3 linked regions of the Oryctolagus cuniculus genome follow. The protein of the gene in region 2 purifies or fractionates together with the protein of the main gene of each other region. This does not show direct contact. Links are inferred from orthologs where the notes say so. Each region holds a gene or a part of one and is shown on either strand. Other genes may lie near its edges.

What was found. Proteins that work in one complex are often made in the same cells at the same time.
Region 1: the proteins of NPM1 (region 2) and KNOP1 purify together in Homo sapiens (affinity purification with mass spectrometry; 3 studies listed by BioGRID and IntAct, counting the BioPlex papers as one, with this or other methods). This does not show direct contact. The link is inferred for Oryctolagus cuniculus from reciprocal best matches to the Homo sapiens genes NPM1 and KNOP1.
Region 3: the proteins of NPM1 (region 2) and small ribosomal subunit protein eS28 purify together in Homo sapiens (affinity purification with mass spectrometry; 3 studies listed by BioGRID and IntAct, with this or other methods). This does not show direct contact. The link is inferred for Oryctolagus cuniculus from reciprocal best matches to the Homo sapiens genes NPM1 and RPS28.

What each region holds. Positions count from the first base shown.
Region 1 is NC_091450.1:21,651,268-21,658,849, reverse strand, and holds the start of KNOP1 (lysine-rich nucleolar protein 1), read left to right. Parts: upstream 1-2,446; 5' UTR 2,447-3,572; coding exon 3,573-4,122; exon of another isoform or gene 4,123-4,305; intron 4,306-4,523; exon of another isoform or gene 4,524-4,762; intron 4,763-7,165; coding exon 7,166-7,582.
Region 2 is NC_091437.1:58,115,562-58,122,605, reverse strand, and holds part of NPM1 (nucleophosmin), read right to left. Parts: intron 5,393-7,044; coding exon 5,313-5,392; intron 4,844-5,312; coding exon 4,724-4,843; intron 4,210-4,723; coding exon 4,116-4,209; intron 3,810-4,115; coding exon 3,703-3,809; intron 3,612-3,702; coding exon 3,544-3,611; intron 687-3,543; coding exon 629-686; intron 383-628; coding exon 299-382; intron 1-298. UniProt on the Homo sapiens protein: Involved in diverse cellular processes such as ribosome biogenesis, centrosome duplication, protein chaperoning, histone assembly, cell proliferation, and regulation of tumor suppressors p53/TP53 and ARF.
Region 3 is NC_091432.1:4,208,805-4,215,025, reverse strand, and holds small ribosomal subunit protein eS28, read right to left. Parts: upstream 3,681-6,221; 5' UTR 3,402-3,680; coding exon 3,210-3,401; 3' UTR 2,837-3,209; downstream 1-2,836. UniProt on the Homo sapiens protein: Component of the small ribosomal subunit. The ribosome is a large ribonucleoprotein complex responsible for the synthesis of proteins in the cell. Part of the small subunit (SSU) processome, first precursor of the small eukaryotic ribosomal subunit.

The DNA of each region.
Region 1 (7,582 bases), on a different chromosome or scaffold from region 2:
AGAGGGAGAGAGAGAGATACCGAGATCTTTCATCTGCTGGTTCACTCCCCCAAATATCCCCAACAGCCAGGACTGGGACAGGCTGAAAGGTCTCCCACGCGGGTGGCAGGGGCCCAAGGACTTGGGCCATCTTTTGCTTCTTCCCTAGGCACATTAGCCAGGAACTAGATTGGAATGGAGCAGCTGGGACTTGAACCGATGCCCATATGTGATGCTGGCATTTCAGGCAGGGGCTTAACCTGCTGTATTACAACGCCAGTCCCAACGTGCTGGTTTCTTGTTGAGGGGTTTGGACTTGAGTGTCACACAGGCCTGACTTTGATCCTCACTCTGCTAGCCACTTTGGGCAAGTTTCCTAAGCCTCAGTTTCTCCCACTGTACAACAGGGAAAATCCCGAGTTGCTATGAGTCTTAAATGAGAATGCACATGAGGCCAGTGCTGTGGCATAGAAGGTTAAGCCTCCACCTGCAGTGCTGGTGGGTGCTGGTTCCAGTTCTGGCTGCCCCATTATGATCCAGCTCCTTGCTAATGCGCCTGGGAAAAGCAGCGGAGGACGACCCAAGTGCTTGGGCCCCTGCACCCATGTGGGAGACCTGGATGAGCCTCCTGGTTCCTGGCTTTGGATCAGCCCAGCCCCGGGCTGTCGCAGCCATTTGGGTAGTGAACCAGGGGCTGGGTGATCTCTTTCTCCTTCTCTCTCTCTATCTCTGCCTTATTTATTTGAAAGTGAGAGTTACACAGAGAGAGAGAGAGAGAGCGCACTCTTCCATCCGCTGGTTCACTCCCCAAATGGCTGCAACAGCCGGAGCTACACCAATCCAGAGCCAGGAGCCAGGAGCTTCTTCCGGGTCTCCCATGTGGGTGCAGGGACTCAAGGACTTGGGCCGTCTTCTACTGCTTTCCTGGGCCATAGCAGAGAGCTGGACAGAAAGTGGAGCAGCCGGGTCTCGAACCGGCACCCATATGGGATGCTAGTGCTTCAGGCCAGGGCATTAACCTACTGTGTCACAGCGCCGGCCCCATAAATATATCTTTTTTAAAAAATAAAGAAAACGTACCTACACTAGTTCCTTGCATCTAAAGAGCAGTTCACTAAATGTTGGCCATTACAACAGTTTGAAGCAAGAAAAATGATGAGCCAAGAAAAACAGGGTTGGATCCTTAAGGGGCTTCAGTGTCAGGCTGGCATGGCATGGTGAGATGGGAATTTTAGGGCAGCTCCTGTGACAGAGTGGACCATGGTCTAGAAGGAGACCTGCCCCAGTTCAATCCAGTTGGGGGTTGTAAGGGCCTCACCCTGGGGGTGGGGCGGGGGTGGGGCTGATCCCTGGAGATGCTAAGCAGGGAGACCCTGTAGGGACTGGCGATTGAGAGCGGGGGTCAGGGGTCATAACCAGGAAGCACACAAGAGGGGTCCTCGGCTTCTGGAGCGGGAGGCGGAGTGGATGATGGTGGCATTGGGATCCGGAGTCCGTTGTCCGGGCCCACAGGCCTGTCTGCCGTCACACCACGCACGCCCCGTGGGTTCGTGCTGACTGCTGACTGGGTGCAGGAGAATCCTTTCTTCGGGGAGATCAAGTGAAGCTCAGTCTGCCTGCGGTGCTAAGGAAGTGGGAGTGAGAGTGGTGCGCAGAAGTCGGGCTGAGCAGGGACGAGAGGTGGATTGGGACTGGCAGCTAATGGGGTCCGGGCAGGTTTTATTCCCCCCTCCCCGAGGTGAAAGAGCAGAGTGTTTGTGGGGAAGAAAGATGTGGAGGTGGTGAGTGACAGGGCGAGCTCCTGGAATGCAAGAGCAGACAGAGGGCTGAGCGGTGAGCGGCGCACAGAGCGCACGTCCTCTGTGTGTGCGCAGATGTGAACACGTGGGCACAGGGGGACCGGAGGGCTCCCCTCCTGTGCTAAGTGGGACAACAGAACGCTGGTGGAGAGGGGGAGGATTAAACCCTGGGCCAGCCGCCGTGGGTAAGGGGAGAAGGCACTGATGGACGTAGAGCAGCTTCCAGCGTCCAGCGCCGAGAGCCCGCAGGTGTGCCAGGGGAACAAGCGTTGGTTCAGATCTGACCCGCATCAGTACCTTGCAGACGGGATAAGGGATCAGACTCTACAAGAGCACTGAGGGTGAGCCATGAGTCCCAGACAGTGCCAGGGCTGCCGGGGCGGCCAACCACAGCAGCACCAGACCAGAAGCAGCAAGGCCCAGACAGCTGGACTGAAACCATAGCTCAGCATCGCTGAGTCCCACGCCGCTGGACGATTTAATTAGGAGCCTTGGCAGGAAAGGTCCCTGCCACCAAGACAGAGCCCTTGGTTGTCACTGGAAAGAGGAGGGGGAAAACAGAACAATATTCATGGATAAGGTCTCATGGAGGCAGGTGCACAGGCACACGGAACAGCCCGAGCCAGGCAGGACCAACATCTTAGGTATTTACCTGTACTGTATCTTCATATAAAAGTTTATTTGCACCTACTTTAAAAGCAGAGCAACGAGAGAGAGAGAGAGAGAGAGAGAGAGAGAATCTTCCACCCACTGGTTGACTCTCAATGCCTACAACTGCCGGGGCTGGGCCAGGCCAAATCCAGGAGCCCAGAACTCCATCTGGGTCTCCATCGCCCGGTGCCTCCCGGGATGCATCAGCAGGATCGTAGCTGGGAAGCAGAACGGCGGGGCATCCAAGCAGCCCTCCCCCGTGGGAGGCAGGCGGGCAGCTCCGGAGGCAGCGGAACCTTTGCGTGGCGACGCCGGGCCCTGGCTGTGTTTTGTCTTCACGAACCGAGCTTCGGGCCGGGCTGCCTGCTGTGATCCTTTGTTTTTGATCAGCTCAGAGATGGGATCACCACAAAGCCTGTGTTTTCGTGTCTGTTGCCAGACCCTGACTTTACTGTGATAGAAAACTGTGCTCTGAGATGGTTAAGAATTCAGTTTATTCGTCCAGGGTACAAACATCATCCGAGTGCCCATGCGCACGGCCGGCCACCTGTGGCCCCAGTCGCTTCCTTCTGTGACGCTGTCACTGTGCAGGGGGCCGCCCTCCACCTGGTTCTGGGGGAGCACCCGGATTCTCTGTGCTTTCTCCCTGCAGCCCTGTGTGGCCAAAACGAACCCGGATTCTAAGCCATTAGCCGTGTTTCTTCGTCGGTGACAGTGAAGGTCTATTGAGTCCGCTGAACGAGGCCCCTTCACGCACGTTTCTACTCCGTCCTCACCACTGCCCTGTGAGCGGGTCCATCAATTTCCCTCTCTCGCAGACGAGGCTGAGCGACTCCCCCCACGGCGCCACGCTCCTCACGTATTCTGCAGAAGCGTTTGGCTTAGGGGAGCGAGAGCTCTGGGGAGGAGACAGCCGCTGTGCCTACCCTCAAATCCTTGAATGAATTCTTTGTGGCGGTCATTAGCTCCTTGCCACAGCACCAAGGGGTAGGGAGCTAAGGGTGCGAGTTACGCGGAGAGCATCTGCAATGGAACAGGTGTCTCTAGGCCAGCGCTGGAGCAGGGACTTCAGGCTGGAACCAGAGAGCCACAGGAAGTGCTTAGCAAAAACACTCGATCTCCCTTGGGAGCCGAGTGTTTTTAATGAAGAGTGGGGGGTGGGGGTTAAGGTCAAGGACCGGGAGTTTTGCTTCCCTAGCCACACGACAGAGCGCAGCGGGAGGCCGCGCGGCCCAACCTGGAGCCCGCCTGTTCCCCCCGCTGGGAATCGCGCAGCGGCCCCCGACGTCAGCCGCCTGGCGCACAGAGGCCGCCCGGCTCCCGCCCTCGTCGGCCAGTCCCGGCTGCCTACCCTCGCAGATCTGCTCCCACAGGTTTTTGCCCGGCGGCGGCGGCTCGGTGACCTGCCCCAGCGACACAGGCAGGTCGGGGGACACGGACGACACGGTGAGCGCTGGCGTCCGGGTGGTGCCGGACGAGTCGGCCGAGCTGTCCGGCTCCTCGCGCTGGCCACTGCGGCTGGGGATCTGCCGCGGAGCCGCCATGGACGCCGTTTCCACGGCAACCGCGTTCGCCTCCTGGCAGCGACCCGGAAGGAACTGGATGTCGCGGGGGCGAGCCAGCGAGTGGAAGTTGACTTCCGGGTCACGGCGGAGCGGGCTCTCACGTGGAGGCGGAGACCCTCGGCTGACGGGTGAGCGCGGTGCAAGGCGCGGCGGCGAGGGGCTGGAGACGGGGCTTGGGCATCTGCTGGCAGGAGAGGAAGGGGGCGAAGTGGCGGCGCCGCACCCCGAAATTGCCCCCTCGATCGGCGCTGCGAGCCCGCCCGAGCCTTAGGCCCCCGCCTCCAGGAAGTTGCCCGGGAGCAAGGCTCGCGGTGTGTTTCTGGGGGCGCTTGGAGAGGGGAGCCGGGGCGCCCCCGCGGTGAGCTTGGCGGGGTGGTCCGCGGGCTCCGGCGCCCCGCGGACGCGTTTGAACCCCCCGTTTTGCCACGTCCGGACCGGGATCTAGGGCCAGTGGACGCGTGGGACGTGGCTTGTGGAGAGAGCGCGGGCGCGAGGTGCCCCGGCGGTGGTTCGGTTCCCCGCCCCGCCTCGGGGAGAGCGCGGATGCGCGGCGGGCCGCGGGTTCCGAATGGCCGAGCCGGGGCGGAGGAGGGGGCGAGGCTGCGCGTCCGGCTCCCGCCGCGGCTTTGTTCTGCGCGATCCCGGGACGGCGCGCGCGCTCGGCTCCCCGGACGCGCCAGCTCCAGGTTTTCGCTTCTCCCCCTCCTTGGCGAGCGCCTGGCGGATGCCCACCTGTTGCGGCGGCGGCGGTTCCTGCGGCCGGCTCAGGTGCGCGCTGGGGCGTGGTTACCGTCGGTTTGCTCCTAAACTCCCCGCTTCCTCCTCCCGCCTCGGCACCCTGTGTCCACCCACCTGTGCAGTGAGCATCCCCACCGGGGCGGCTCCAGGCGTGTGTTCGCCGCAGCTGCCCCAGCTGCGAAGCTTTGTTCTTCAGAACTTTGCAGACTACTGGTAGGGCCGGTTCCTCGCCCTCCGTCGCCCTAACCTTGCCACGCTCTTGCTTTGGGGACTGTATCATCGTCGTCATCGGGGCGCTTAGCCTCCCGCGCCTACGGGTCGCTCGGAGGCCAATGTCTTGTGTCTGTTTCTAGCATGCATTCAGGCTCTGGGAACGCAGGGAATGCGTGAACCAGTGGCTGTTCCCTTGGTTCTCCCGGTGTTTCTGGAGCAGGTTATGAACGCCCTTTGAAGTTGCTACGAGTAAGCCAGATCCAGGGGGGCCCCTGTGGGCCGCAGGCTGGAGAAGCCCCTGTGCTTGGTTTCTGGGTGCCCTGGGTGACTCGGCTCTCAGCTGGCCCGGGGAGCAGCGGGGGCTAGGCTGCCGGCCGCGGTGAGAGGGGCCGAAGGGTGTGGAGGGCGCCCGCCCCTTCGCACAGGTGTCTCCATAACATTCAACTAGGGAGAGCCGGCTGGCTTGCTGTGTGTCATTGCCAATCAGTGAGTGCCAGCAATCAGCTTGAAGTTTCAGAAAGCGGGGAAACAGGTGTGCTGGCCGGATGTGGCCCCTAACCCTGGGGGCTTCTGGTTCGCTCTTTGTGGATGGGGGGCTGAGGTCGGGAACAGCCAAGGCTCTGTGGCAAGAGTGTGTCGGAGCCACCGGAAGCCCAGTGTTTGGGTCCTCGCTGGGGCTTCTTGCCCGTCCTTACCCCTGGTCTTGTGAGCCACACAGGAAGGCAGTTGTGAGGGGAGGTCACTCGGGGTGCAGGTGGGGGAGTTCATTGTTAGGAGAGCCCCGGATGCAGGCCTGGTTGTGGCCCCGTTGCTGCCTGGGCTGGGAGTCAGCAAGCTGACTGGTGTCTGGGATGAACAGCAGGCTTGGAGGTTTGAGGAAGGGGCTTCGAAAGAGGAATCGACAGTGTAGGACGTCCTTGGCGTGGACTGTTCTGTTTATTCCCCCAGAGAAGGAGTCGGTAGTGCCCTCCACCCCCATTTTCCAGATGGGGAAGTTGAGGCTCAGGGAGCTTAGGGTTTTGGTTTTTTTTTTTAAGGTTTATTTATTCATTTGAAAGGCAGAGTTAGAGAGGAAGAGACAGGTCTTCCATCGGCTGGTTCACTCCCCACGTAGCTGCAATGGCTGGAGTTAGGCCGGGCCAAAGCCAGGAGCCTGGAATTCTTATCTGGGTCTCCCGTGTGGATGGCAGGGGCCCAAACACTTAGGCCATCCTCCACTGCTTTCCCAGATGCATCAGCAGGGAGTTGTATCAGAAGCAGAGCAGGAGGCCGGCATTTGTGGTGCAGTAGGTTAATCCTCTGCCTGCCGTGCCAGCATCCCATATGGGCACTGGTTCGAGTCCCGGTTGCTCCCCTTCTGATCCAGCTCTCTGTTATAGCCTGGGATAGCAGGAGAAGATGGCTCCCTGCACCCGCATGGGAGACTTGGAAGAAGCTCCTGGCTCCTGGTTTTGGATCCGCCCAGCTCCAGCTGTTGTGGCCATCTGGGGAGTGAACCAGCGGATGGGAGACCTCTCTCTGTGTCTCTACCTCTCAAATGAATGCATAATAAATAAAAACAAAAAAATCATTCAAAAAAGCCGAGCAACTGGGACTAGAGCTGGCACTCAGGTATGGCGTGCCAGCACCGCAGGTGGTGGCCTCGCCCACTGTGCCACAGCACTGGCCCTGAGGCTAGGTGACTGAGTCAGGGTAGCAGAGTGGTTTGGTTTGGAACCTAAAGCTGTCTGGACTTAAATGTCTATCCTAGGCTAGTGCCACGGCTCACTAGGCTAATCCTCCGCCTAGCGGCACCGGCACACCAGGTTCTAGTCCCGGTCGGGGCGCCGGATTCTGTCCTGGTTGCTCCTCTTCCAGGCCAGCTCTCTGCTGTGGCCAGGGAGTGCAGTGGAGGATGGCCAAGTCCTTGGGCCCTGCACCCCATGGGAGACCAGGAGAAGCAACTGGCTCCTGGCTTCGGATCAGCGTGGTGCACCAGCACTGCGCCGGCCATTGGAGGGTGAACCAACGACAAAGGAAGACCTTTCTCTCTCTCTCTCTCTCTCTCACTGTCCACTCTGCCTGTCAAAAAAAAAAAAAAAAAAAAAAAAAGTCTATCCGATTTTGCTTTGCACCAAAGGAATGCTGATCATTTTCTGACTACCAACTCAAAGAAATTTGGCTTTTGGTGGTGCTTAGAAGAATTGAACTCAGGCTAACCTGTACTGTTGTTTTTGGCAGGAATGATCAACAAGGCTCCCAAACTGGACCTGGGCCTTGAGTTTCCAGAGAAAAAGAAGAAGAAGAAGAAGAAGTTGGTCAAAGAGGCAGAGACTCGGTATTCGGTTCTCAGCATTGACCCCTGTTTCGTGGCCGCATCTCCGCGGAGGAGCGGGGCCCAGGGACAGGCACCCGAGGTGCCGCTAGTGGTGAAGAAGAAGAAGAAGAAGAAGAAAAGCCAGAACAGCGCGCTGGGCGAGGAGCCCCCGGAACCCGAGCTCTCCTCGCGGGCCCAGCGGACGAAGAAGTCACCGAGCCCCCGGAAGCAGTCCCCCAGCCACTCGGAGTTCCTCGGCGGGGAGAAGAAGAAGAAGAGGAAGTCCGTGGTGCCTCTGGCCGTGCCCCATGGCTTGAGGGTCAAGGTTTCCCCAGACCCCA
Region 2 (7,044 bases):
AGAAGCACCAGGCTCCTGGCTTTGGATCAGCGCGGTGCGCCGGCCGCAGCGGCCATTGAGGGGTAAACCAACGGAAAAAGGAAGACCTTTCTCTCTGTTTCTCTCACTGTCCGCTCTGCCTGTCAAAAATTAAAAAAAATAAAATAAAAAAGAAACCACTTATGTAAATGTAACAAAAAGCTATGGTGGCTCCAACCCCTACCCCCGGAATCCTAGGAGCCACCTCTCCAGTATGTGGAATGGAACAATGAATAACAAGCATTTCTTCCCTCTTGACTGTATACATTTATCCACTTACTTTTGATCTTGGTGTTGATGGTTTTGAGTCTTTCCCATTCTGGTTTGATTTCTGTGCATTTTTGGCTGGGGTATCTCGTATAGACTGAAAATGGAAAGCACTCTTAATCAGAGGTCCCACAACAAAATCTATCAGTTCAAATAAACTGTGCCAAATCCCATAAATGCAGCATTTCGTCAGAAGGTTACCAAAGGCTAACAAATTGTGGGAAAAGGCCATGAATATCATTCCCCCCTTTAATGTTTTCAGTACAAGGCCATATTCTCTCCTTCCATGCACTACACAACAGATAAGCTGTCATTTCTGACAACCTTATAGCACTGTACTTACTTTCTTCACTGGAGCTTTTTCTTCAGTTTCCTCATCATCAAAATCATCATCATCATCACTAGAAATGAAATAAGGGAAAATATTTAAGAACTTCCAAAATTTGGGGGGAGGCTAGTGAAAGAATTGAATGCATTCTCTAAGACATACTTGCTCATTCAGGCTCACTGTAACACTTTTCAGAATAGCCAACCAAATGTCCAAATGGCTGAATAGATTAAGAAAATTTGTAAACATACAATGGAATACTATTCAGTCTTAAGGAAACCCTGTCCCATGCTGCAACAGGGATGAATCTTGAGGACATGTTAAAATAGCTAGGGGCCAGCACTGTGGCAGAGTGGATAAAACTTCTGTCTGCTGTGCCAGCATCTCATACAGGTGATGGTTTGAGTCCTGACTGCTCAATTTCTGAATCAGCTTTCTGCTATGGCCTGAGAAAGCAGTAGTGGATGGCCCATGTTCTGGGGCCCCTGAACCATGGGAGAGACCCAGAAGCTCCTGGCTCCTGGTTTTGGATCAGCCCAACTCCAACCATTGTGGCCATCTGGGAAGTGAACCAGTGGTTGGAAGCTCTCTGTGCTCTGTTTAACTCTTTCAAATAAATCTTAAAAAATAAAAAAAATAAAAAAAAAAAAAAACCCTAAAGACACAAAAAATTCACAGTAGACTTAAATCTAATGACAATATTCAACAGAATCCCTACAACAATGCTGACTTCCTTGGAAAAATCTGTCCTAAAACCACATAGGGTTCTCACTTGGTGATTCAAACAGTAATCTAAGACCTATATGAATGCTGAAGCTACTAGTATATTTTCACGACCTCAGATTTGGCAACGGTGTTTTAGGTTTAACAAAAGCAAAGCAAAAAATTCTGTACTTCATGAAAACGAATTTTTATGCAAAGGCTACCACCAAGTTACTGAAGATGGCAGAAAATGGCAGAAAGTATTTGCAAATCACCTAAGGTACTTGCTTCCAGAATATAAAGAACTCTAGCAATTTTTGAATGAGCAAGGGATCTGACCAACATTTTTCTCCAAAGATATACATATGGTATATGTCCATCACCAGTCACCATGGAAATGCAAATCAAAACCACAATGATACTATACACCAGTGGGGTAGGTATGTATACAACCCACCACTGGCAGGAATCATTCAGGCACTTAGAGGAACTGCCAGGCTTTTTTTTCCCGAAGAGTTAAACCTCCAGTCACCATTTACCCGAAACATCTAGAATAGGCAAATCTACAAATATAAAGACCAAGTTCATTCGTTGAGGAACATGAGGAGTCACAGCTAAGGGAAATGATTTTTTCAGTTACACCATTTTAAAATGATTTGTGCAGCTAGTGACGTGGTGTCGCATCTACTCCACTTCAGATACAGCTTCCTGATAACGGCCCAAGAAAAGGTTCAAGGAGCTGGTGATGTGCCGCAGTGGGTTAAACCAGCTGCAGTGCCAGCACCCCGTATGGACTCCAGTTCAAGACCCAACTGTTCCACTTCACATCCATCTCCTCTGTGGCCTGGAAAAGCAGAAGATGGCCCAAGTCTTTGGGCCTCTGTGCCTTCACGGGAGATCCAGAAGAAGTTCCTGGTTCCAGCTGTTGCGGCCACTTAGGTAGTGAACAGATGGAAGATTCTCTGCCTCTCTAACTCTGCCTTTCAAATAAAAAGTTTTAAAAATAAATCGGTTTAAGACATAAAAGAATCTGTCTTTAAAAAAAAACTTCAAAAGGCCAAGTTTTAGACACTTCCCACTCACTGATACTCCTGGCTCTTGGCTAGGCTCCACCCTGACTGCTGTAGCCACTTGGGGGCAAATCAGTGGATGTTAAGATCTGTTTCTCCCTCTCTCCTTAACTCTTTCAAATAAATGTAAAAACAGAAAATTGTTTTTAGGTGATGGCTGCACAGGGTGTTGATTCCAGGATCCAAGTATTCCACAATCCAGGGATATTTAAACCACTTATAAGAGTGTCCGCATACATATACACATACATATACTCCAAATCACCTCTAAGTTACTTCTTACACCTAACAAAAATGATGAAAGATTAAAAATCAAGTCTGTATTCAGTACAGAAGACACTGTCCAACAATACTAGTATAGAATCCAGATATAAATTTCAACTAAGCTGTGCCATACCCTTTCCATCCTCAAAAGAGGATCTCCCTTTCACCTTGTTCTTTGTTCAAAGTCTACTGCCAATTGGCTATTTCATCTTTTCACATCTTAACCATCATCCATGCCATGCTCTTAACCCTCAGCCCCCTTGAGGCAACCATGACGTCCCTTAGCACACACATGCTTTTGACTACCCTCTCCTCTATTCGAAAATGTGCTGATTTGGACCACCCATACTTTACTTTCTCCCTAAGCATTATCTACTTACTATATACACAAAGGGACAATTCCGACACTGTGGTTACATTTTAAAAAGTAAATCTACTGGGGCTGGCACTGTAGCACAGCAGGCTAAGTCTCCATCTGTGGTGCCAGCATCCCATAAGTGTGCCAGTTTATGTCCCAGCTGCTCCCCTTCTAATTCACTCTCTGCTTATGGTCTGGGAAAGCAGTGGAAGATCGCCCAATTGCTTAGGCTCCCAAACCCACATGGGAGGTCGAAGAAACTCCTGGGCTCATTGCTTTGGTTCAGCCCATTTGGGGAGTAAGCCAATAGATGGAAGGATTCTGTCTCTACTTTCCCATTCCTACCAATGCTGCATGCTCTACTCTTAGGAAAAGCCACAATGCACAGCAGCATTTTAAAGGCTCAGTCCCAACATTTTTTTGCTGACAACCACTGACCACATGAATCCCTTTAATTATGAACTATTGCACAGAATAACTCTGGTAAATCATTTCCATAAAATTACCACCCATGCACATAAAAGCATGCTACTCACTCTTCATCATCATCATCGTCGTCGTCGTCATCTTCATCATCTTCTTCAGCAGCAAGCTTTACTTTTTTCTAAAAAGGAAAATATACTTATGAGCAAATGCTGATTGTTACCACCTAACAAAGGCTGTAATGCAAATCTGCAGTGAAATGACATCTCTACCTGTGGCACCTTGCTGCCACCTCCAGGGGCAGATCGTTTTCCAGATATACTTAATAGCTTCACATCCTCTTCCTCCTCGTCTTCTGATTCTGCATCTTCCTCCACAGCTAAAATAAAATTATCAGACATTTATTTTAAAACTCAAACAAGAATCATTCAGGAAAAATAAAGATTAATACTATAGAATGCTGAACACTTAAAAATCCAACAAAAGGACAGCAAATGGCAACAGAATTTTTTAAAGGATTTTGTTGTTAAACATGCCCTTACTATCATTAATTTAAGGTTCTCACTGGAACTCACTATAAACAGTAATAGTATAACCAAGCCTGGTTTAAGTACAAACCAGAAGCCAAGCAACTGCAGTATATGATATATATATATATACAATGCAGTATATGAAAAGAACATACCTACTAAGTGCTGTCCGCTAATATGCACAGGCCCTGAACCACACTTCAACCTTAAGACCACAGGTGGTGTTATTTCAAAGCCCCCAAGGGAAACCTAAAATGGAGATTTAAGAACAGCATTACAGGCAAATCCACACACCAAAATAAACCAGTGAGTCTGTTTCCCCCTCTATTTAACAGCAGAAACCTTTTTAACAGCTGACCATTCAACTCTAGTGACAGAAACATGTAGCTATGACTAATGGGGTAAAGAAGCACCAAATAAAATTCCACTTTCTAGGGCCAGCACTGTGGCAAAGTGGATGAAGCCGCTGCCTGTATTGCCAGCATCCTGTATGGGCAACTGCTCCACTTCTGACCCAGATTTCTGCTATGGCCTGGGAAAGCAGGGGACACCTGGAGGAAGCTCCTGGCTTCAATCAGCCCACCTCCAGCCACTGCGATCACTTGGGGAGTGAACCAGCATTGGAAGACCTCTCTTTGCCTCTCTGTAACTGACTTTCAAATAATCTTTAAAAAAATTTTTACTACTGCTTGTAGTAACCTAAATACCTGCATTAAAACAGAACTAAATCCTGACATAAAATCCCAAATCCAAGCACCCTTACCGTTGGCTGTACAGACATTTTCAGCGTTGCCAGTGTGACTTTAATCGGGCTGCCTTCATAATTCATTGCCTCTGCTTCAACAATGTGCAGTTCATCCTTGGCACCAGCGCCTAAACTGACCTGTGAACAGTTTGTAAACTTTAATTTCCAACTGTTTTACAATCCTGCCTCGGAAATCTGTGTTTAAAAATACCAAATATGACTTTTATCATTATTTCCAACTTGTGCCAACACTACCTTCAAGTTTAGTAAGATTGGCAAACCAATTTCTCATGTTCAGTAAACTTGAAGAAATACTTAAAAATGCACACATATTATACAGAACACCTATTAAACACCCACTACAAAGCTGAGTAGGTTCGTCTGGCAGACACCCTAGAGATCTTTCATGATTCAAATGAAGCAAGATAATAAAACGGTGACTTGACTTTACCAGATTACCAGGTAGCAGTGAACATGCCCAGCTTTTTAATCAAGTTTATTGATGAGGTATATACAATATCCAATCATAAAAACTCTTATAAGCAGAGAAATAGGGGACAATTAAATTGCTGAAATCAAGAAATGTTTATTTTAAAAGCTTAAGTACCGTTCTTAAAGATAACTGGTGCTCATTTTCATCATTGTCCACTTTAAAGTGATAATCTTTGTCAGCCTTTAGTTCACAACCTGTAAAAGAAAAAAGCAATTCTAACAAGCAGAAAATTAACAAAGCTAACCTTTTAAGTAGTTTTCCTCTACTTTAGCTACCACAGAGTAGGAAGAATGGTCTCTTTCTGGTTTCCTCAACACTCATTTTTAAAAATCATTTAAGGTCCTTACAAGTCTGTATTAGTTGCATTTTCATTACAGTATTTTTCAATACACTGAGACAAGCACTACTACTTCTGCAGACATATCAATAATGAAGCCTAATATATAATAGTTAATTCCCAACCATTTAAAAAACTGGAATTATCTATCTAAACTCCCAATAGTGGAAAATTAGCAATGAGAATGGTTTCTCAGATGAACAGCTTTCATCTACAGAGAAAAGTACCAACATAAAAGAATCAACTTGTAAGGGTCAATATTCCAAAGTGATGCACATTAGAAATAGAGGCAACAGACACAATCAAGGACACTTCCAATATAAAGGGCCAAAAAAAAGAATTATTGTTTATAAAATCACCAGAAACCTCTAAAAATGGCTAAGAATTAAGTCCTAAAGTGCACTACCGTGCACATTATCTACTCCCACTCCATCGGGAAACTGTTTTAATTATTGCCAGAATAAAAATTTACGTGGTTACACTTCACTCCCATTCACAATAGATACTTAAGCATGCTAGTGCTAACAAACCTCAACATGGTTTGTAAACTAGGGGTAGGATTAGCATCTATTTCCATGTCTAACCAACAAAGGGTTCCCAGAATTAAGTTCTACTGTAATTCCTTAAAACTATGCATACATAGTAGTGTGAGTTCGCGGGGGACGGGGGCGCTGTGGTTCCCAATCTCTGGTTACAACCCGAGAACGTTGGTGAACATAACAAAATCCATGCTGGACTACCTCCGCTACACCCTTCCTGGAAAAAAAATAAGCCTCACTTATGAAGCGCTGGCTCTGCAATCAAGGATTTTGTTTAAATCTGGTTTTTAAGCGCAACCTTAACCTAATTACTTCTCTGAGCATCAGACCTGTATTGTGGTTTAGGTCCGTCTACCAGCTGAGGCAGAAAGAGGACTCTAAAAAGGCCAGTTACGGTACAGTTGATGCTGCAGACGCTGGACAAAGACTTCCAGAATCCTAGTTCAATCCGCCACTACACCTATCACTTCCCGCCCAACAGTCTCAAAGCAGCCACAGGACCCCTGGCTGGGGCGGGGGGTGGGTGGGTGACAAGATGCCAGAGCCCCGGATGTACAGCCCACACCCCCTCCCTTCCCCCAACCACGTGGCAACCACGTGCTTCGGGCGGTCGCGGCCTCCTCAAGCCCCGCCGCACATCCCCTCCCCGGTTCACTGGCTGAGGCACCCGAGCTGTCTCCGGGCCCGGAACTCTGGATGAGGACGCCAGGCTGCACCCACCTCCTCCTCCAGCAGGGACTTCCACGCCCCTCCATGCACCCCCCCCAACCTCCTGTAACACGGCCTAGCAACAAGCCAGCCGACTTACACACTACGGGACAAAAAATCACGCCTGGAATCCTACTTCGCAGCCCAGGCAACGCCGAACCTTCAGACGGCCTTGGGCCATGGCCCGCTCACGCCCCAGGCCGGGGGCCGCCGCTCCTCCCCACCCCTTTCACACGGCTCACTCTCTGCTCCCAGCTCCCAC
Region 3 (6,221 bases), on a different chromosome or scaffold from region 2:
TCTGTCTTTGCAGAACCTGTCCTGTCCCTTTGGGACCGGGAACACCAAGAGATGCAGCCTCCGGGGGATGTCGGGGTGCAGGGTGGCAGTGGGGGGCGAGATGGTGCCCCTGGCCTGGGCCGTGTCCATCCGGGCTCCCCATCATGGGAATGAGCCCAGACTCCACCCAGAGTCCACAGACCCAAGTCCTGATGGTGTCCCTGGCCTGGGCTATGTCCATCCGGGCTCCCCAGCATGGGAACAAGCCAGGACTCCACCCAGAGTCCACAGACCAAGTCCTGATGGAGTCCCTGGCCTGGGCTGTGTCCATCCGGGCTCCCCAGCATGGGAACAAGCCAGGATTCCACCCAGAGTCCACAGACCAAGTCCTGATGGAGTCCCTGGCCTGGGCTGTGTCCATCCGGGCTCCCCAGCATGGGAACAAGCCAGGACTCCACCCAGAGTCCACAGACCCAAGTCCTGATGGTGTCCCTGGCCTGGGCTGTGTCCATCCGGGCTCCCCAGCATGGGAACAAGCCAGGACTCCACCCAGAGTCCACAGACCAAGTCCTGATGGAGTCCCTGGCCTGGGCCGTGTCCATCCGGGCTCCCCAGTATGGGAATGAGCCCAGAGTCCACCCAGAGTCCACCGACCCAAGTCCCCCTGTCCGTGCGATGCCGTGTGTTGCTGCTGGGGCCCAGCAGACACAGACGCTTCTGGAAGTCCTTGGAAAAGACCCTCCGGGGGGACGGCGGGGGCTGAGAGGCTCTGCGGTCGGCCAGCCTGCCTGCCGCGGGCCCTGCCTCTGGCTGCCCGTGCGGCCACCACAGGTCACCCCAGCCCCTGTGAAACCCGATGCCAGTGGCACGCCCCGCGCGCGGCTGGGTGAGGGTTAAGCGTCTGGTCTGAGCTGTGGCCGAGAGCTTGCACGCTGACCTTCTGTTCGGGCACTGCCTGCACCACGGGGCGGCAGGGCTGTGCCGGGGCCTGGGGCAGACCGGCTCTCTGTCAGCCAGGCTGGCACTTGTCGTCCCGGTGTTTGGCAGGGAGGGGTCTGCCTGGTGCCATCACACAGGATTGTCTGGCTTCGAGGCCTCACGGCTGGCCCGGCACAGCCCACCCTGGGTTGTGTGGGGCACAGTCCTTGTCCTTGGTGCCTTGGCAAAGGAGATTTTTTTTTTTTCAAAGACTTATTTATTTTATTTGAAAGACAGAGAGACAGAGAGACAGACACACACACACAGGTCTTCTGTCCACTGGTTCACTCCCCAGATGGCCACAATGGCTGGAGCTGAACCCTTGCTTCTCAAAAGCCGAGCGGCGGCCGGCGCCGCGGCTCACTAGGCTAATCCTCCACCTAGTGGCGCCGGCACACCAGGTTCTAGTCCCGGTCGGGGCGCCGGATTCTGTCCCGGTTGCCCCTCTTCCAGGCCAGCTCTCTGCTGTGGCCAGGGAGTGCAGTGGAGGATGGCCCAAGTGCTTGGGCCCTGCACCCCATGGGAGACCAGGAAAAGCACCTGGCTCCTGGCTCCTGCCATCGGATCAGCGCGGTGCGCCGGCCGCAGCGCGCTGGCCGCGGCGGCCATTGGAGGGTGAACCAACGGCAAAAGGAAGACCTTTCTCTCTGTCTCTCTCTCTCACTGTCCACTCTGCCTGTCAAAAAAAAAAAAAAAAAAAAAAAAAAAAAAGGCCGAGCGGCATTTGGCAGCGCGCAGGTGCACCGGGCGTTCCCGGCATTTGCCTTTCTCCAGGCTTTCTCGCTATTAGACGGCACGCCACAGTGACCCTCGCTGTCTCCGTGCACCTGTGAGAAAACGTTCCCAGGGAGAACACGTCGTTTATATTTGCTTTTTAGGGCTTGTTTATTTGAAAGAGTTGGAGAGAGGGAGTGAGAGATCTTCCCTCTGTGGGTTCACTCCCCACATGGCCACAATGGCTGAGGCTGGGCCAGGCCGACACCGGGAACCTGGAACTCCATCCGAGTCTCCCACGTGGGTGGCAGTGGTCCAGGCTTGGGCCGTCCTCTGCTGCTTTCCCAGGTGTGTTAGCAGGGAGCTGGATCGGAAGTGGAGCAGCCGGGACTTGAACCAGCGCCCATAGGTGATGACGGCACTGCAGATGGCTGTGCATATCTATTTTTTTTTTAAGATTTATTTATTTGGAAGGAAAAGTTACAGAGAGGCAGAAGCAGAGAGGAAAGAGAGAGAGAGATCGAGATCTTCCATCCGCTGGGTCACTCCCCAGCGCTGATCTGAAGCCAGGAGCCAGGAGCTTCTTCCGGGTCTCCCACGTGGGTGCAGGGGCCCAAGCACTTGGCCGTCCTCCACTGCTTTCCCAGGCCACAGCAGAGCTGGGCCGGAGGTGGGAGCAGCCAGGATTCGCACTGGCGTCCACATGGGATGCTGGCGCTGTAGGTGATGGCTTCACCTGCCGCCTCGGTGCCAGCGCCTCCATTTGTGGTTTTAAAGATGCTGGCGACAGCCATCCCAGAAGGCTGTGCAGATCCACACCCTGGCAGAGTGACCCCTGCCGTTGTCCGTGGGGGCGCCCGCTCTGCCGCGTCCTCCCCACTCGGGTTCTGGGGTTCTTGCATTTGGGTCCCGAGTTGGTTAAGAATTATACCACGTTCTGGTTCGCGCCTCCCTCACTGCTGGTTCTGCAAGTCGCCTGCTCTTGGCCTCTGCCCACCTCTGCTGAGTTGCTGTCCGGTTGTGCAGCTCTTGTCTGTGTCCCAGGTTTTCCCTCGGGTCTGTAGCAGGCCCCTCACCCGGGCTCAGACTGCAAGCACGTTTGCCTGTGTTCCCTTCCGGGGCTCTTATTGTTGTGTGTGTTCCAATCAAGCACTGCTGTGTCTGATTTATTTATTATTTTGGTGTGCAGTTTGGGGTTGGGATCTGGCCAGCAGGTGGGGAGCTGCCCGGCACCTTCCTGGAATGCTCTATCTTGTCCCCCTGTGCAGCGTCTCCAGGCGCCTGGCTCCTGCCTCCGGATCCTTCTGTGGGGCTTCAGGGGCCGGGGCGGCTCTCTGTGCCGTTTGCTGCTGTTTTAATCTCCGTGGCCCCGGCTGTGCCAAGTCCGTCTTCGTTGTTCCCTTAGACCCCGTGCACACTTCAGGGTCCGCCTTTTGATCTATGGACTGAAGAAGTAAACAGTGACATCAGCAGGTGTCCGCGGGCTGCATTTCTTTCTTTCTTTTTTTTTTTTTTTTTTCACCCCCTGCGCGGCGGCATCAGCGCAGCCTCCGAGCCTCCCGCTCGGACTCCAGCAGGGTGAGCACGCCGCCCTCGCGCACGGGGCCTTTCACGTTGCGGATGGTGGAGTGGCTTGTGTCGTCCATGAACTCCACGCGCACCTGCGTGCGCTGTCCTGAGAGCCAGGTGACCCTGGCCAGTTTGATGGGCTGCACTCCACTCGTGTCCATGATGGCGGCTCGCGGCGGTCGGGCGGAGAGCCGCGGGCTGCATTTTAAGTGGCCTGTGGCGAGCTGGCCGCTGGCTGTCCAATTCAGATGATGTGTGGCCTGTGGGGGCGCCAGCCTGGCAATTCGTGGGTCGTTGGAAGCTCGGGGAGCGCTGGAGAGGTGCCGTGGGGCCGGGCGGCCGGTGCCGCTTCTGCGCGGCTCGCCCCCCGTGCCTGCTTGGGACCAGCCCTATAATGCAAACTAGTTTCAGCGGCAGCCGCAGGGCGGGTGTATTACTGGGTGAGTCACAGCTCCCCTCCTCCTTCTTTCCAGAACAACCTGGAGGCACCTCGGATTCGGCAGAGGGCTGCACCTCTGTGAGCCCGGATGGGCAGGCGGCGCCTGCCTGGCAGCGCCCTCAGGAAGTTGCTCAACGGGGCGTTCAGAGCCGCCCAAGCACGTCCGCCCGCCCGGGCGCCCTCCCCACTCGGTGCCACCTTGCGTGGCCCACCCTGGCGGGCGGTCACCGGGCGGGAAGCGCCACGTGCTCCCTACGGCATGGTGGCTTTCGAGCGAGCGGGGTTCTAGGGCTGGCTTCTGGGGGCGCAGGCCGTGGCTCCAGGTGTGCAGCGGGAACGTGGCTTCCAGAGGGGAGCGGCTGGGGGAGAATCGGGGTGCGGCCTCGCGGGTGGCCTCTGCCCTGGCGGGGGTCCCTGCCCTCCCGGCTCCAAGGCCTGTGCTCATTCCGTGAAAGACTGGATTTGGAGTGGAAGACAGCACTGGCATCCAGTTGCCCTGCCTCCCCGGAACGTTCCCTGTGCCCGTGTTTTGTATGGCGCGCCCTGGTTAACCTTCCTAAAACCGGCAGCTGGGCTGTCTCGGGTGCTGTGCCGTTCTCCGGTGCTCAGAGCTGGAACGTGTCGGCTTGGCGGGCCGCGCTCCCCGCCATGACGGCTTCTACGGCCAGATCCCTCTCCTCGTGTTCTGGAACTTCCCAGGGTCCATGCAGCCCGGGGGGCCTTGAGGACAGGGCTCTCGTCCTCCCACCTCTGCCTGGTGTCCAGCAGAGCTGTCCAGGGAGCGGCCTCGCCCACCCTTGTCTGGCCCCCTGGCCCCCTGGCCCCGAGTTCTACCATTGGGGGCTCCCTCTGCCCTCCTGAAATCCAGGCCAGCTGTTTCCCGGATTGTGGGACACCTGACGTGCTGTGAACAGAGACTTCTGGGACCAAGCGAGAGGGCTGGCACCCCCCCCCACCCCCCCGTAGTCAGCGCCCCGTTCCTGAGGCGTGGACTCTGGTGGGACTGCACAGGCCAGCTGTTTGGCCTTGCGGAAACCCGTTTGTATCCCAAATGGACTTGGCCATGAGGTCCCCCGTGCATGAGATCCCCCACCCCACCCGCAGCCTGGACCCCGAGGTGCGGGTGGGGAGCTAGGTCGGCCGGCATCTGTTTCCCCCACGTGGCGTTGTCATCGCCGTTTAAGGAACTGGGCAGGAGGATCGCTGGTCGCGCAAGCCGACGCTGTATGCTCCGAAGCTCTGGAGCCGGGGAGTGTGTGGGTGGTTCCGGGACGTTTGCAGCACTTTCAGCGTGCAGACGCTGGCGTCCGTTCTGTCACGTCCTCACTGCCCGGGCTCCGTGCGTGTTGGCTGCAGGGTCAGTTGGCTCCCAGGCATGGTGGGCTGCCCCGTTGCTGCCGTGGTCCCACTCCCTGGAGCCTGCGGCCCAAGCCTCGTGCTCTCTGTGGCTCGCAGAGCTGGTGGCCGGGCCCGGGCCCCGCAGTGGGGGGGCACTGGGGGGGGTGCTGGCGCTGCTCGAGTGGACGGCTTCCTTTCCACGAGGCCACGGAGCTGCCCCGTGCTGGGGACCTGGCCGTGCAGCTCTGGGCTGATGACCTCCCGGCCATGGCCAGCTGTGGGCCGTCGTCTCTGCTGATGGTCTGTGGCGACACGTCACCCTGTGCGGGGGCTGGCATTGGGGTGGGCCTGTCTGCTGCCCTGGGGGGTTCTGCTCAGGGGTCCCCCTGGGCTCTCGGCCCGTGTGCTGCAGGCGCCGTGGAGAGATGTGGCGGGACAGCTGGCCGAGGACCGGGGTGCTTTCCGGAGGTACCTGCTGGGGGAGCCACGGGAGGTGGCTGCGCTCACTCCGGAAGCGAGGCTGGGACCAAGGGCAGGCCCAGCCTTTGGGCTCCTCGTTGTAGTTTTTGAAAACCCTTCCGTCTCTTTGGGACCCCGTCCTCGCGGGGAAGCTGTGTCTATGAAGCCGTGACTTAGCCTTTGGGAGCCACACAGAGCCAGCAGCCAGAGCCAGGGGCGGGTGTGGGGAGTGCTCTGTCGGCTCCACGTGGTGGGGCTCTGGTGTGGCTGCTCAGAGACCCAGGACACCTTACTCTCGTGGTCCCTGGGCCGTGGACCTCGGGGTGGGAATAACTGACTCGGAGCCATCGTGGGGTCTGCCCCAGGGTCCCGGCAGGCCGCTGCTGAGGGGCACTGGGCTCCCGTGGCCTCCCCACTCCCTGCCCTGCTCGTCTCGCTGTCTGGGCGAGACGTCTTGGGCGTCTCCCGCTGGGCTGTCCGTGCCTTCCTCCGGAGGCAGTGATGCCTTCGATGCTGGGGTGTGGCCACAGCAGGGGCTTCCACCGCTCCTGCTATAGGCGGCACCCGCGTGCCTCAGGGGCCGTCCTCGGATCCTGCCCAAGCCTGGCTCTCTCTCTGGCGTTTAATCCGGGATCTGATCTCGGTGGCTGGATCGTGGGGTAGTTGTCTCCCGTGGGGACGTGGCTGGGGTTGTGTGATCTCCCCTGGCTGTGTGGGACGTAGTGGACAGGAGGTTGAACGAGGA